Linked DNA regions of Callithrix jacchus. The protein of the gene in region 1 purifies or fractionates together with the protein of each later gene. This does not show direct contact. Links are inferred from orthologs where the notes say so. Each region holds a gene or a part of one and is shown on either strand. Other genes may lie near its edges.

Evidence for each region.
Region 2: the proteins of DACH1 (region 1) and JUN purify together in Homo sapiens (affinity purification with western blotting; 3 studies listed by BioGRID and IntAct, with this or other methods). This does not show direct contact. The link is inferred for Callithrix jacchus from reciprocal best matches to the Homo sapiens genes DACH1 and JUN.

What each region holds. Positions count from the first base shown.
Region 1 is NC_133502.1:43,444,690-43,450,661, forward strand, and holds the start of DACH1 (dachshund homolog 1), read left to right. Parts: upstream 1-1,821; 5' UTR 1,822-2,261; coding exon 2,262-3,094; intron 3,095-4,100; exon of another isoform or gene 4,101-4,191; intron 4,192-5,972. UniProt on the Homo sapiens protein: Transcription factor that is involved in regulation of organogenesis. Seems to be a regulator of SIX1, SIX6 and probably SIX5.
Region 2 is NC_133508.1:95,863,318-95,869,483, reverse strand, and holds JUN (transcription factor Jun), read left to right. Parts: upstream 1-2,735; 5' UTR 2,736-3,706; coding exon 3,707-4,711; 3' UTR 4,712-5,989; downstream 5,990-6,166. Other genes in the region: uncharacterized protein LOC128928178, read right to left, coding at 1,464-1,465. UniProt on the Homo sapiens protein: Transcription factor that recognizes and binds to the AP-1 consensus motif 5'-TGA[GC]TCA-3'.

The DNA.
Region 1 (5,972 bases):
TTACAGAAGTGTTTTGGTGTTCGTGACATATATTGAATTCCTACTTTTACCTGATAAATTTGAAAACTAAAATATTAATAAAATTATTTCTGAATATATTAAAATACATTGATTAACCAGGCCAAACAATTGTGTAAACTTCAGCAGTCCTTGAAGAAGTTTATGGACTTTTCTGCAACAATCGACTTTCTGAAGTTTTATCTCCCAGGAAAGCCTCCTGATTTAACTGCTATGTCCCAAAATGTTTAGCATAATTGTACACTAATTAGTCCATAGTGTCATATTTCTATTTCTTGGTAAACAGTTCCTGCACTTTTTGACACTACAAGTCAGAGTTCAAAGGATTAAAATGGTAAAGAGAAATGTGATCATTTCAACACCAGAATGGCGAAAATTTTGTTTTAAAATTTCCCAACATTCTGAACCTGCTACTAATAGTTTATTTTAAAAATCCGTCAAATGCTAAAGCATTGCTTCACATCTTAAGAACTTACTGAACATGCGTAGACCAGTTCCAAGCCTAAGTAAGTGAAGATACTTGAAGATATGAGCAGCAAATAGATTTGACCTATGTTCAAATCATATGTGAGTCAAAAATCCTTGAATAAATAGCTCGATGCAACAAGTTAGAAAACAGAAGAAAAGGAAAGGAGGAAGAGTCAGTCTAAACTCAGCCTCACGTTTTTTTAAGCACAGCTACCGAAGTCTTTACAAGTCAACTAGTGAGCTGTTTTTGTTCTCATTATTTACAAAACATCTATTATTGACAAATTGGAAAGGACTTTGCAAAACTACAGCAGCACTTTTCAAACATGGAAAAAAAAAACAAAAAACAAAACTATTGTGTTGTCCAAAAAACACATTAACCACTGGCCTTGGGTCTTAAAGGACAATGAGGATAGTTGGTTACTGTGTAAGACAGGTGAATTAATTATAGAGTTTTGAGTAAGAAAAGCCTTTTTCCACTTTCTAAATCTTCAAGGATGCCTTATCTCCTTGATCTCTCTAAGTATAAGCGGTATTTCTGACTTGCTTTTGGGGCGACAGTGAAGTTATTCTAAATCATGCACATCAGGACAAGCATTTCTTTCCACAGCATATTAAGAAATAGGGAATTGAATACAGCTTTCCATTATTCTTAAGCGATTTCTGACTGACTTCCCACCACTTGAAAATTGCCCTGGAATTTTCACTACCTTTATATAAATAAATGATTTAGTAGAGAAATAAAACAATCAGATGCAAAAGAATATTACGCTTTGCTTACATGTGAATTTTCCTCAAAATAGTTTCTGAATAATCATGAAGTGGGGGCTGTTTTCCTTTCTATCTCATTGCCAAAACGCCTGGAGATGGATCCTAAATCCTTGAAGGAGCAAGCTCGGGGCGCTCTGGCTCGTCTTTAAGTTGGCAGGCGATTGTTTAGAAGCTTTGGAAAAAATTACCAGTCGCCGCGGACGAAATGCAATGTGAGACATGCAATCTAACGGTAGTATAGAAGAGAAGTGGAAGATCTCCCTCTCCTTTTCCGATCGCCACTTCTGCGTCCCCGGCTTTTCCTCTCCGTTCCTCCCACAGTTTCTTTCTTTATCCTCCCCCTCCCCTCCTCCTTTCCTCGCACGCTCCCTCTCCAGTGTCTCGCGCTCTCGGAGTCTCTGCTCCGAGTTCCTGGTTGGATAATTTGGGTTAATACTAGTGAGTGAGGTTTTTGCGGCTTCAAAGGGTATTTCAAGTTTCCGGAGCTCCTCCCCTCTGCACCGTGTGACAACAACAACTCGTCCAGCCGGCAGCCTGCACTTTTCAGCTCATTTTCTCTCTGTCATTCGCCTCTCAATCTTTGATCAATGTACTTGCCAGGGAGAGCCCAAGTCCTTCAAACCTCCTCCTTTTCACCTTCATCCTTAACTTTGTGCTAGAGCGGGACCCACACAACAACAGCCGACCCTCCCCGCCCCCGCCCCCACCCCCCCAAACCAGCCCTCCATCCCAGCCCCCGGAGAGGACTCGCATTTCGACTTGCGGGACACTTTTGTGCGTTTCTCTCCAGAGCGCCTCTCGTGCTCGCCCCTCCTGCGCTCGCTCTTTATCACCTTCACCTCCTTTTCTCCCCCTTCTCTCCCTTTCTCCTTCTCGTTCTCTCCTGGAGTTGTTGTTGTTGCCCCCCTCGCTCCTTCTCCCCCCTTTTTTCCCCTTCCCCTCCCGGGGTGTGTGGCAACTTTTCCCCTCGCTTCTCCTCCGTCTGCTTCCCCTTATATGTGACCATGGCAGTGCCGGCGGCTTTGATCCCTCCGACCCAGCTGGTCCCCCCTCAACCCCCAATCTCCACGTCTGCTTCCTCCTCTGGCACCACCACCTCCACCTCTTCGGCGACTTCGTCTCCGGCTCCTTCCATCGGACCCCCGGCGTCCTCTGGGCCAACTCTGTTCCGCCCGGAGCCCATCGCTTCGGCGGCAGCGGCGGCCACAGTCACTTCTACCGGCGGTGGCGGCGGCGGAGGCAGTGGAGGCGGCGGCGGCAGCGGCGGCAATGGAGGCGGCGGTGGCAGCAACTGCAACCCCAGCCTGGCGGCCGCGAGCAACACCAGCGGCGGCGGCGGCGGCAGCATCAGCGCTAGCGGCGGCGTCGCCTCCAGCACCCCCATCAACGCGAGCACCGGCAGCAGCAGCAGCAGCAGCAGTAGCAGCAGCAGCAGCAGTAGCAGTAGCAGCAGCAGCAGCAGCAGCAGCAGCAGCAGCTGCGGCCCCCTCCCCGGGAAACCCGTGTACTCAACCCCGTCCCCAGTGGAAAACACCCCCCAGAATAATGAGTGCAAAATGGTGGATCTGAGGGGGGCCAAAGTGGCTTCCTTCACGGTGGAGGGCTGCGAGCTGATCTGCCTGCCCCAGGCTTTCGACCTGTTCCTGAAGCACTTGGTGGGGGGCTTGCACACAGTCTACACCAAGCTGAAGCGGCTGGAGATCACGCCGGTGGTGTGCAATGTGGAACAGGTTCGCATCCTGAGGGGACTGGGCGCCATCCAGCCCGGAGTGAACCGCTGCAAACTCATCTCCAGGAAGGACTTCGAGACCCTCTACAATGACTGCACCAACGCAAGGTGAGTAGCGGGGGGTAGCCTCCGCCACCCGAGCCCCTTCCCACCCGCCTGCTCGCCATACCCTCGCTCCCTTCCCGGCGCCGCTCGCTCCGCGCGCCCGCGAGTCGCGTGCCCATGCGAGCGCGGCCCTCTCCTCTCCCTGCTCGGGGCTCACCCGCCGCGCCCAACCCCCTGAGAAGTTGGCACCTCACCCTACCCAGACCTCGGTCTTGGGCCCGGTCCGCCCCCTTGCCCGCTGCGTCCCGGGGATGAGCTGTAGTGGGACGCGGGAACTCTTAGCCTCAGGGCGGAGGGGACTAGAGGGAGAAAGACGGCGCCTTTCCTGCAGCCACAGCCCCCTGCCCCGGGCGCGCGGGTGCCTGGGGACACCTCTCGGAGCTACGGCCGGCTTTCGTGCGCTCCCCATGGCCTGGGCTCCTTCGCCAGCCTCCCGGCACCGATGGGGCTGGTCGGTGGCGCCGAGCGGCGTCCTGGGGGCGGGGAGAGGTCGTGACCTGCCCCGCAGGGCTTGGGGAGCGGGGAGACGTGCTCCGGGTGAGGGGCCCGCTGGGAAAGGCGAGGGAGCCCGCCTGCAGCAGAGGAGGGCACTTTGAGGTCGGGAGGGAAACGACCGGCGAGGCTGAGAGATCCGGACCTTCCCGGGGGGTTGAGCTCCGGGGAGTTGAGCTACGAAGTCTGGAGGGGAAGCCCGCCGAGGGGAGGGGTCTGTGTGTTCGCGCATGTGTGCCTGTGTCTGCGTGTGAGCGAGTGTGCAAAGGAAATAAGGGGATTCGGTGGCCCCGGGGCAGATGCGAGGGCACCAGCAGGTTTTCCTCGGTAGGGGGAGGTGACCGAGTGCCCGAGACTCAATGGAAGCTGAACTGGAGAGATTGGGAAGGAAAGCGACGGAAGCGCGCTGTCTCTCGATCTCTGTCTCTTTCTCTCCAAAGTGTTTTCTTTCTATATTTCTCTCTCTTTTCTTTTCTTAAAGGGTAGTAGCTTACGCAGCGATCAGGTGCACACTTACACTGAGATGCTCAGCGGGCCTGCTACTCTGTGCCTTGGCTTCCCCAGCCCAGCAAAGCGCGCGCACGGAGACGGCGGCGGGACGGGTCCCCAGCCAGACCAGTTTTATGCTAATGAAGGCTCAGTGGGGGAAGATCTACCGGGAGGGGGCGGGAGTGGGGCAACCTGTCAGTTTCGGGGTAGAGACGATCATTCCACCCCCTTTCACAGCTCCGCTTTGTCCCTACGGTTCGCTGCCTGGAAGCGCAGACGCAAAAGTTCAGACAGATGCCGGGAGAAAGAGAATAGGGAAAGTTGAAGACTTGAAGCAGGCACGTGGGAACTGCGCGCAAAATTTGCGCGGAAACTTCGGTACCCTCTAAATAAGTTTGAAGGTTGAGAGGAGGAGCGGAGTTGGTGTGTGCCCCCGCAGAGCCAGGGAAACTGAGGTGGGAAGGAAGGAAGTGTAACAAGGAGACCAGAAGGACATTGGGATGAAAAAGCGCTAGTTTTTTCCACGGAGGAAGACTCCTAGCTTAGCGCCCGGGAAGACTGTGAAACGAAAAAGATTCGAATTCCAGTCCAGCAATTGTCCTATCCTGACCTAGCCAGAAATTCTTTTCCGTGTTTAGGTACCCTTCATTCCATGGGACATGGGTGTGTTTGGGCTTTGAACCTTCGACTCTTTTGGGGTAAATGCTGTGTATGTGTGTGTGTGTGTGTGTGTGTGTGTGTGTGTGCGTGTGTGCACTCGCGCTCAAATGTATGGACAGGTGGCAGTAAAGATTGGGGGGGGTGGGGCTTGTGGAACCAAGATCACTAAACGCCACTTACTCAGATCATTGGAGTTCTTGGTCATGCAGAATATAAATATTTGCCCAAAATCTATGTTAAAACGATTAGAATCAGGGCAGAAAAATTGATCCGGAGTTATGAAAAAAGCTGGGTGAAATTTGAAGCTAGTTTAGATATTATTGTTAAAAAATTATCTGCCTATCCAGTAAATTGGTGAATCGCTACCTATTTTTATTCTTTAGTAATCAAACATCTACTCTCCTCGGAATCCTCTTACTGTGTTTCTTACAGCACACTAGACACTAGGTAATTAAAGGCCATTTCACATACACACAGATACACACAATTGCTGGATAAAACTTCCTTCAATGACTGCTTTATAATAAATGTTATAATTAATGTTAAACTTGATTTTTTACCTGAACTTCTGCCTAGATTTGAAGTCCTCACCATATGGTTGGAGAATATTCTTAAAGTTATTAACTAAAATTTTTTTCAAGTTTTTTCCCCCTGAGGTTAACAACAGATCTGGAGTTTAAACTTGCAGAGCCAAGATGAGTTAAATCCAGTGGAACTGTTGATCTCTTCACAAATATCTCATCACTACTGTAATTATGTTTCAATCACCTGGCCTTAATAATTTGCAATTGCATGCGTTGCTCTAAAACCCTATTTTAAGTTATTTTTAAGTTAAATATGAGAAGTTTGTTCATTTAATATTGAATTTGATTATATATCAACTAAAAAGCTTACCCAAACTTAAATACATGCAAATGCTGTAGTCATTAACTTGAGAATGTATTTAGTTGCAAATACCTACCTTGGTTTTCCTAACTCTGCCACTGATTGAAGAAATTGAGAACTTATAATGGAACTTCCCTCTCACCAAATATACTGTTTACTTTATATTACTGTCTTTAATGATAATTATAAGCATTATTGTCTTATTTCTTACCTTTCAAAGCTTTGAAATGTTTTGCATCTTTTATTTGTAAAACTATGATTACTTTTTTCATTCAAGTCCAGTTTATATCTTTGCTATGAAGAACCTTTTTTATTCACCTAGATGTACTGATTTCTTTCACTTGGGTTTCTTTCT
Region 2 (6,166 bases), on another chromosome or scaffold:
AGGCTGGAGAGAGAAGGAATTAGATTGTGAAAAGCACCTTCTTCCAGTCATAGGAATCAGAACTCTCCGGGTTATAAGGAAAAGCCAATGAAGGTTTCCAAGCAGGGGCGTTAACATGAACAGATTTGTTATTTTTTGGATGAAATATGCTATTTCTCAGCATAAGGAGAAGATCAGCCTACTAAACCACATGAGGCAGAGAGGAACATACAGAACCTTAGGCAAAAGATATATATTTACACAAAGCCCTAAGTCTTGAAATTTCTAAATACAGGAGCTCTGAACAGAGGTACAATCAGAGGATAAAGAAAAAAAATTTCTTCTGTGCCACAAGCGCTATTTCCTCTGCAGATAACTAATACTTCACAAGAAAGTTTACCAGAGTAGAGAAAATACAAGGGAATGTAACACAGACCTGAGGTCAATTTCCAGCTGCCTGTGTGACCTGAACAAGGATACTTAACCTCTCTGGGCCTATTTCCTCACATGTCAAATCCGGATAAAAATATATGTCTCTCAAGACGGCTGTGGGGAGAAAACAGCATATTTAAATTGCTTAGGAGAATGCCTGGCAGATAAGTGTTTAATACATGAAACTTACTTTTATTACTGTTATAAAAAAATTTAGAACAACAGCTCCCTTATTACAACAGAAAATGATTCAGAGCAACAGACAGAAGGAGAATGTTCTCCCCTTGAGGGAAGTAACTGGATCTTGCTATCACTGTATACCTACCCCACCCCCTCCCCAGTTCAGTGCCTGGCTCACAGTAGGCTTTCAGTTACCCTCTGCAGATCACTGAAAGCTAGGTGAGTGCCCGGAGCGAAGAAAAGTTGGCAGGTTTCCCACTGATACCAGCTGCTGTTGGTTTCTGAACACTCAAAGCCGCAAATACCTTAGGGCTGGGGGCAATGAACCCAAGGCTGAATTCCAAGTTCAGAAGCAGTGAAGTCCGAATTTAGAACCTAAGAACTTTAAACTGCTGCAGGTCCAACTTCAAGCCCCAGTTCTAGACAGAGGCCTGGGAAAGAGCTGACTTCTAACCCTGTTCCCCCCTCCTCCTCCCCCTGATGCTTCTCACAGGAAAGTACACCTGGTCCTGCCAAATCGCACTCTTATATCCTGGCATTCCGTTTAGACTTCTGTGAGGATGGAAACTGCGAGGCAGGGGAGGGAAGCGGGCTGTTTGGCCACCACCTCCCTAGTCCTGTAGGCGACCCTGTCACACTAACTCCTGGCAGCCCAGGGAGGTATACTGCATCGGCCCCACCGGCAGATGAGGGACATGAAGCTCAGAGAAGTTCCATGATTTCCTCGTTCCGCACTGTGGCAGCCTGGCCACGAAAGAACCAGGATTCCCGACTTCAAGATTCTTTCCACCACACACTTTCGTCCCTAAGGAGTGGGGGCGGGGGGGGTGGTGGGGAGATAAAATAACAACCGCGGAAAAGGAACCACTTACATGTGTCTAGCGCTTCCTAGAGGCTACCCAGGATATGGGCCCACAACCCGGCCCGGAGTGCAGAGATTTGAAGTCCAGGTTCTATCCCGGGCTCCGAGTTCTACTGCGTGACTTTATGCGAGCGTCCGCCGCCTTCTGGGCTTGTTTTCCCGGAAGCAACACGGCGCAGATGGAGTGTGTGTGTGTGTGTGTGTGTGTGTGCGCGCGCGCGCCTGTGTGTTGAGCGTGCTGTGTTAAGCGTGTGCGTGTTGTCCGGGGGCGGGAGGGGGAGTATACTAACACCGGGCTTCCCCAAGTTTCGGATTGCCTACATGCTTGTTCCCATCTGGACCCTGTTACCCACTAATTGCTCTCACTATAAAAACTGCCCCTCCAAGGCAAAGCTATGAACCCCCGCGTCCCCGGAGGATGAAGAGAGGTGCAACGGAGACTCAGCTGAGCGTTCAGTTTCGGGCAATACAAATTTCTCGGCTTCTATGAGCAGCCAGACGACCCCGCGGACCATCGCTCCTGAACTAGACCAAGACAAAGTTCCGAGCGTTCTCAACTTGGGGGGCCGACTCTCGCGAGACCGCCCCCAAACTTAAGCGCCCTTAGGCTCGCCCCCAACTGGGACTTCACAGAGCCACCTTAAGGGCGGTGCTCCCGCCCCCGGAAGTGCGCGGGGGGGGCCACAGACTTGGATTCTCAGCCTCCTGCCCCGCGCGGTGGCAGACGCCGGCGGATGACTTCGAGCCCCACAAGTGGAGAAACCCCAACCACCCCTCGCCCGCACCCTTGGCCCCCAACAACTGGCCGGGTTCCCTGGCCTCCCGCGTCCCCTTATCCCCTGCATCTCTGCATCCCTGTCCGGAGCCGTGAACTTGAGCGCCCCCCCCCACCCCAGAGACGTTGCGAGCGTCCGCCCGCTCGCGGCAGCCACCGTCACTAGACAGTCAAACCCCAAGACGTCAGCCCACAATGCACCGGGCGGGCCAGCAAAAACGGCCGGGGGAGGAGACCAGGGAAGAGAGGGCCGAGAGGCGTGCGGCAGGGGGAGGGGAGGAGAAAGAAGGGACCGACTGTAGGAGGGCAACGGAGCATTACCTCATCCCGTGAGCCTCCGCGGGCCTAGAGAAGAATCTTCTAGGGTGGAGTCTCCATGGCGACGGGCGGGCCCGCCCCCCTGAGAGCGACGCGAGCCAATGGGAAAGCCTTGGGGTGACATCATGGGCTATTTTTAGGGGTTGACTGGTAGCAGATAAGTGTTGAGCTCGGGCTGGATAAGGGCTCAGAGTTGCACTGAGTGTGGCTGAAGCAGCAAGGCGGGAGTGGAGGTGCGCGGTCTCAGGCAGACAGACAGACACAGCCAGACAGCCAGGACTGCAGTAGAGTCCGAGCTGCAAATCTTTTCTTTTCCATCTTCTCTCCAACTGCCCAGAGCTAGCGCCTGTGGCTCCGGGGCTGGTGTTTCGAGGAGTGCGGGGAGAGCCTGGTCTCCAGCCGCCCCCGGGAGAAGAACCCCGCTGCCCAAGCGCTGCTGACAGCGGCGGAGAGCAGCGGTACCCACGCGCCCGCCGGGGGACGTCGGCGAGCGGCTGCAGCGGCAAAGAACTTTCCCGGCTGGGAGGACCCGGGCCAAGTGGCCCAGAGTCCCGGAGCGAACTTTTGCAAGCCTTTCCTGCGCCTTAGGCTGCTCGACGGCGGTAAAGACCAAAAGGCGTTGGAGAGACGCGCGAGAGAAGGACGTGCGCTCAGCTTCGCTCGCACTGGTTGCTGAACTTGGGCGAGCGCAAGCCGCGGCTGCCGGGCGCCCCCTCCCCCTCGCAGCGGAGGAGGGGACAAGTCGTCGGAGTCCGGGCGGCCGAGACCCGCCGCCGGCTGGCCACTGCGGGGTCCGCACTGATCCGCGCCTCTGGGAGAACCGCCGCTCCTGGAAGTGAGTTCGCCCGCGGGCTCCGAGGAACCGCTGCGACCGAAGATCGCTCAGTGAGTGACCGCGACTTTTCAAAGCCGGGCAGCGCGCGCGAGCCAACAAGTAAGAGTGCGGGAGGCATCTTAATTAACCCTGCGCTCCCAGGAGCGAGTTGGTGAGTAGGGCGCAGCGGGGACGACTGCCAGCAGGCGCGCACGCTCTTAGAGAAACTTTCCCCGCCAAAGGCCCGGGGGGACGCGGGTGTACCCCGCTTGCCAGAGCGCTGTTGCGGCCCCGAAACTTCTGCGCGCAGCCCAAACTAACCTCACGTGAAGTGACGGACTGTTCTATGACTGCAAAGATGGAAACGACCTTCTATGACGATGCCCTCAACGCCTCGTTCCTCCAGTCCGAGAGCGGAGCTTATGGCTACAGTAACCCCAAGATCCTGAAACAGAGTATGACCCTGAACCTGGCCGACCCAGTGGGGAGCCTGAAGCCGCACCTTCGCGCCAAGAACTCGGACCTCCTCACCTCGCCCGACGTGGGGCTGCTCAAGCTGGCGTCTCCCGAGCTGGAGCGCCTCATCATCCAGTCCAGCAATGGGCACATTACCACCACGCCGACCCCCACCCAGTTCTTGTGCCCCAAGAACGTGACAGACGAGCAGGAGGGCTTCGCCGAGGGTTTCGTGCGCGCCCTGGCCGAGCTGCACAGCCAGAACACACATCCCAGCGTCACGTCGGCGGCGCAGCCGGTCAGCGGGGCGGGCATGGTGGCTCCCGCGGTGGCCTCGGTGGCGGGGGGCAGTGGCAGCGGCGGCTTCAGCGCCAGCCTGCACAGCGAGCCGCCGGTCTACGCCAACCTCAGCAACTTCAACCCCGGAGCGCTGAGCAGCGGCGGCGGGGCGCCCTCCTACGGCGCGGCCGGCCTGGCCTTTCCCGCGCAACCCCAGCAGCAGCAGCAGCCGCCGCAGCCGCCCCACCACTTGCCCCAGCAGATGCCGGTGCAGCACCCGCGACTGCAGGCCCTGAAGGAGGAGCCTCAGACAGTGCCCGAGATGCCCGGCGAGACGCCGCCCCTGTCCCCCATCGACATGGAGTCCCAGGAGCGGATCAAGGCAGAGAGGAAGCGCATGAGGAACCGCATCGCTGCCTCCAAGTGCCGAAAAAGGAAGCTGGAGAGAATCGCCCGGCTGGAGGAAAAAGTGAAAACCTTGAAAGCTCAGAACTCGGAGCTGGCGTCCACGGCCAACATGCTCAGGGAACAGGTGGCACAGCTTAAACAGAAAGTCATGAACCACGTTAACAGTGGGTGCCAACTCATGCTAACGCAGCAGTTGCAAACGTTTTGAAGAGAGACTGTCGGGGACTGAGGGGCAACGGAGAAAAAAATAACAGAGACAGACTTGAGAACTTGACAAGTTGCAGCGGAGAGGAAAAAGAAGTGTCCGAGAACTAAAGCCAAGGGTATCCAAGTTGGACTGGGTTGCGTCCTGACGGCGCCCCCAGTGTGCACGAGTGGGAAGGACTTGGCGCGCACTCCCTTGGCGTGGAGCCAGGGAGCGGCCGTCTGCGGGCTGCCCGGCTTTGCGGATGGGCTGTCCCCGCGCGAACGGAACGTTAGACTTTTCGTTAACATTGACCAAGAACTGCATGGACCTAACATTCGATCTCATTCAGTATTAAAGGGGGGAGGGGGAGGGGGTTACAAACTGCAATAGAGACTGTAGATTGCTTCTGTAGTACTCCTTAAGAACACAAAGCGTGGGGGGGAGGGTTGGGGAGGGGCGGCTGGAGGGAGGTTTGTGAGAGCGAGGCTGAGCCTGCAGATGAACTCTTTCTGGCCTGCCTTCGTTAACTGTGTATGTACATATATATTTTTTTTAATTTGATGAAAGCTGATTACTGTCAATAAACAGCTTCATGCCTTTGTAAGTTATTTCTTGTTTGTTTGTTTGGGTGTCCTGCCCAGTGTTGTTTGTAAATAAGAGATTTGGAGCACTCTGAGTTTACCATTTGTAATAAAGTATATAATTTTTTTATGTTTTGTTTCTGAAAATTCCAGAAAGGATATTTAAGAAAATGCAATAAACTATTGAAAAGTACTCCCCTAACCTCTTTTCTGCATCATCTATAGATACTAGCTATCTAAGTGGAGTTGAAAGTTAAGAATGTCAATTAAAATCTCTCTCAGTGCTTCTTACTATCAAGCAGTAAAAACTGTTCTCTATTAGACTTTAGAAATAAATGTACCTGATGCTATGGTCAGGTTATATACTCTTCCCCCAGCTGTCTATATGGAATTGCTTACCAAAGGATGGTTCGATGTTTCAGGAGGCTGGAAGAACGGGTTGGGGGGTTGCAGTGAAGAGGGACGGCCCACTGGGAACTCAAACATTTCAAAGTTTGAGATTGTATCAAGTGGCATGTGCTGTGACCATTTATAATGTTAGTAGAAATTTAACAATAGATGCTTATTCTCAAAGCCAGAATAGGTGGCAGATTTTACAAAAAATGTATCCTTCCAATTTGGAATCTTCTCTTTGACAATTCCTAGATAAAAAAGATGGCCTTTGCTTATGAATATTTATAACAGCATTCTTGTCACAATAAATGTATTCAAATACCAATAACGATCTTGAATTGCTTCCCTTTACTACTTTTTTCTTCCCAAGTTACATACTGAAGCATTTCTTTTCAGTTGCTGAGGTTAACATTGCTGCAATCTGAAGTGTGACTCGTAAGTTAAGAAGCAAAATATTTAGGGAAAGTCAAACTAGAAGTGGTGATCTGGATGAAACAGTTTC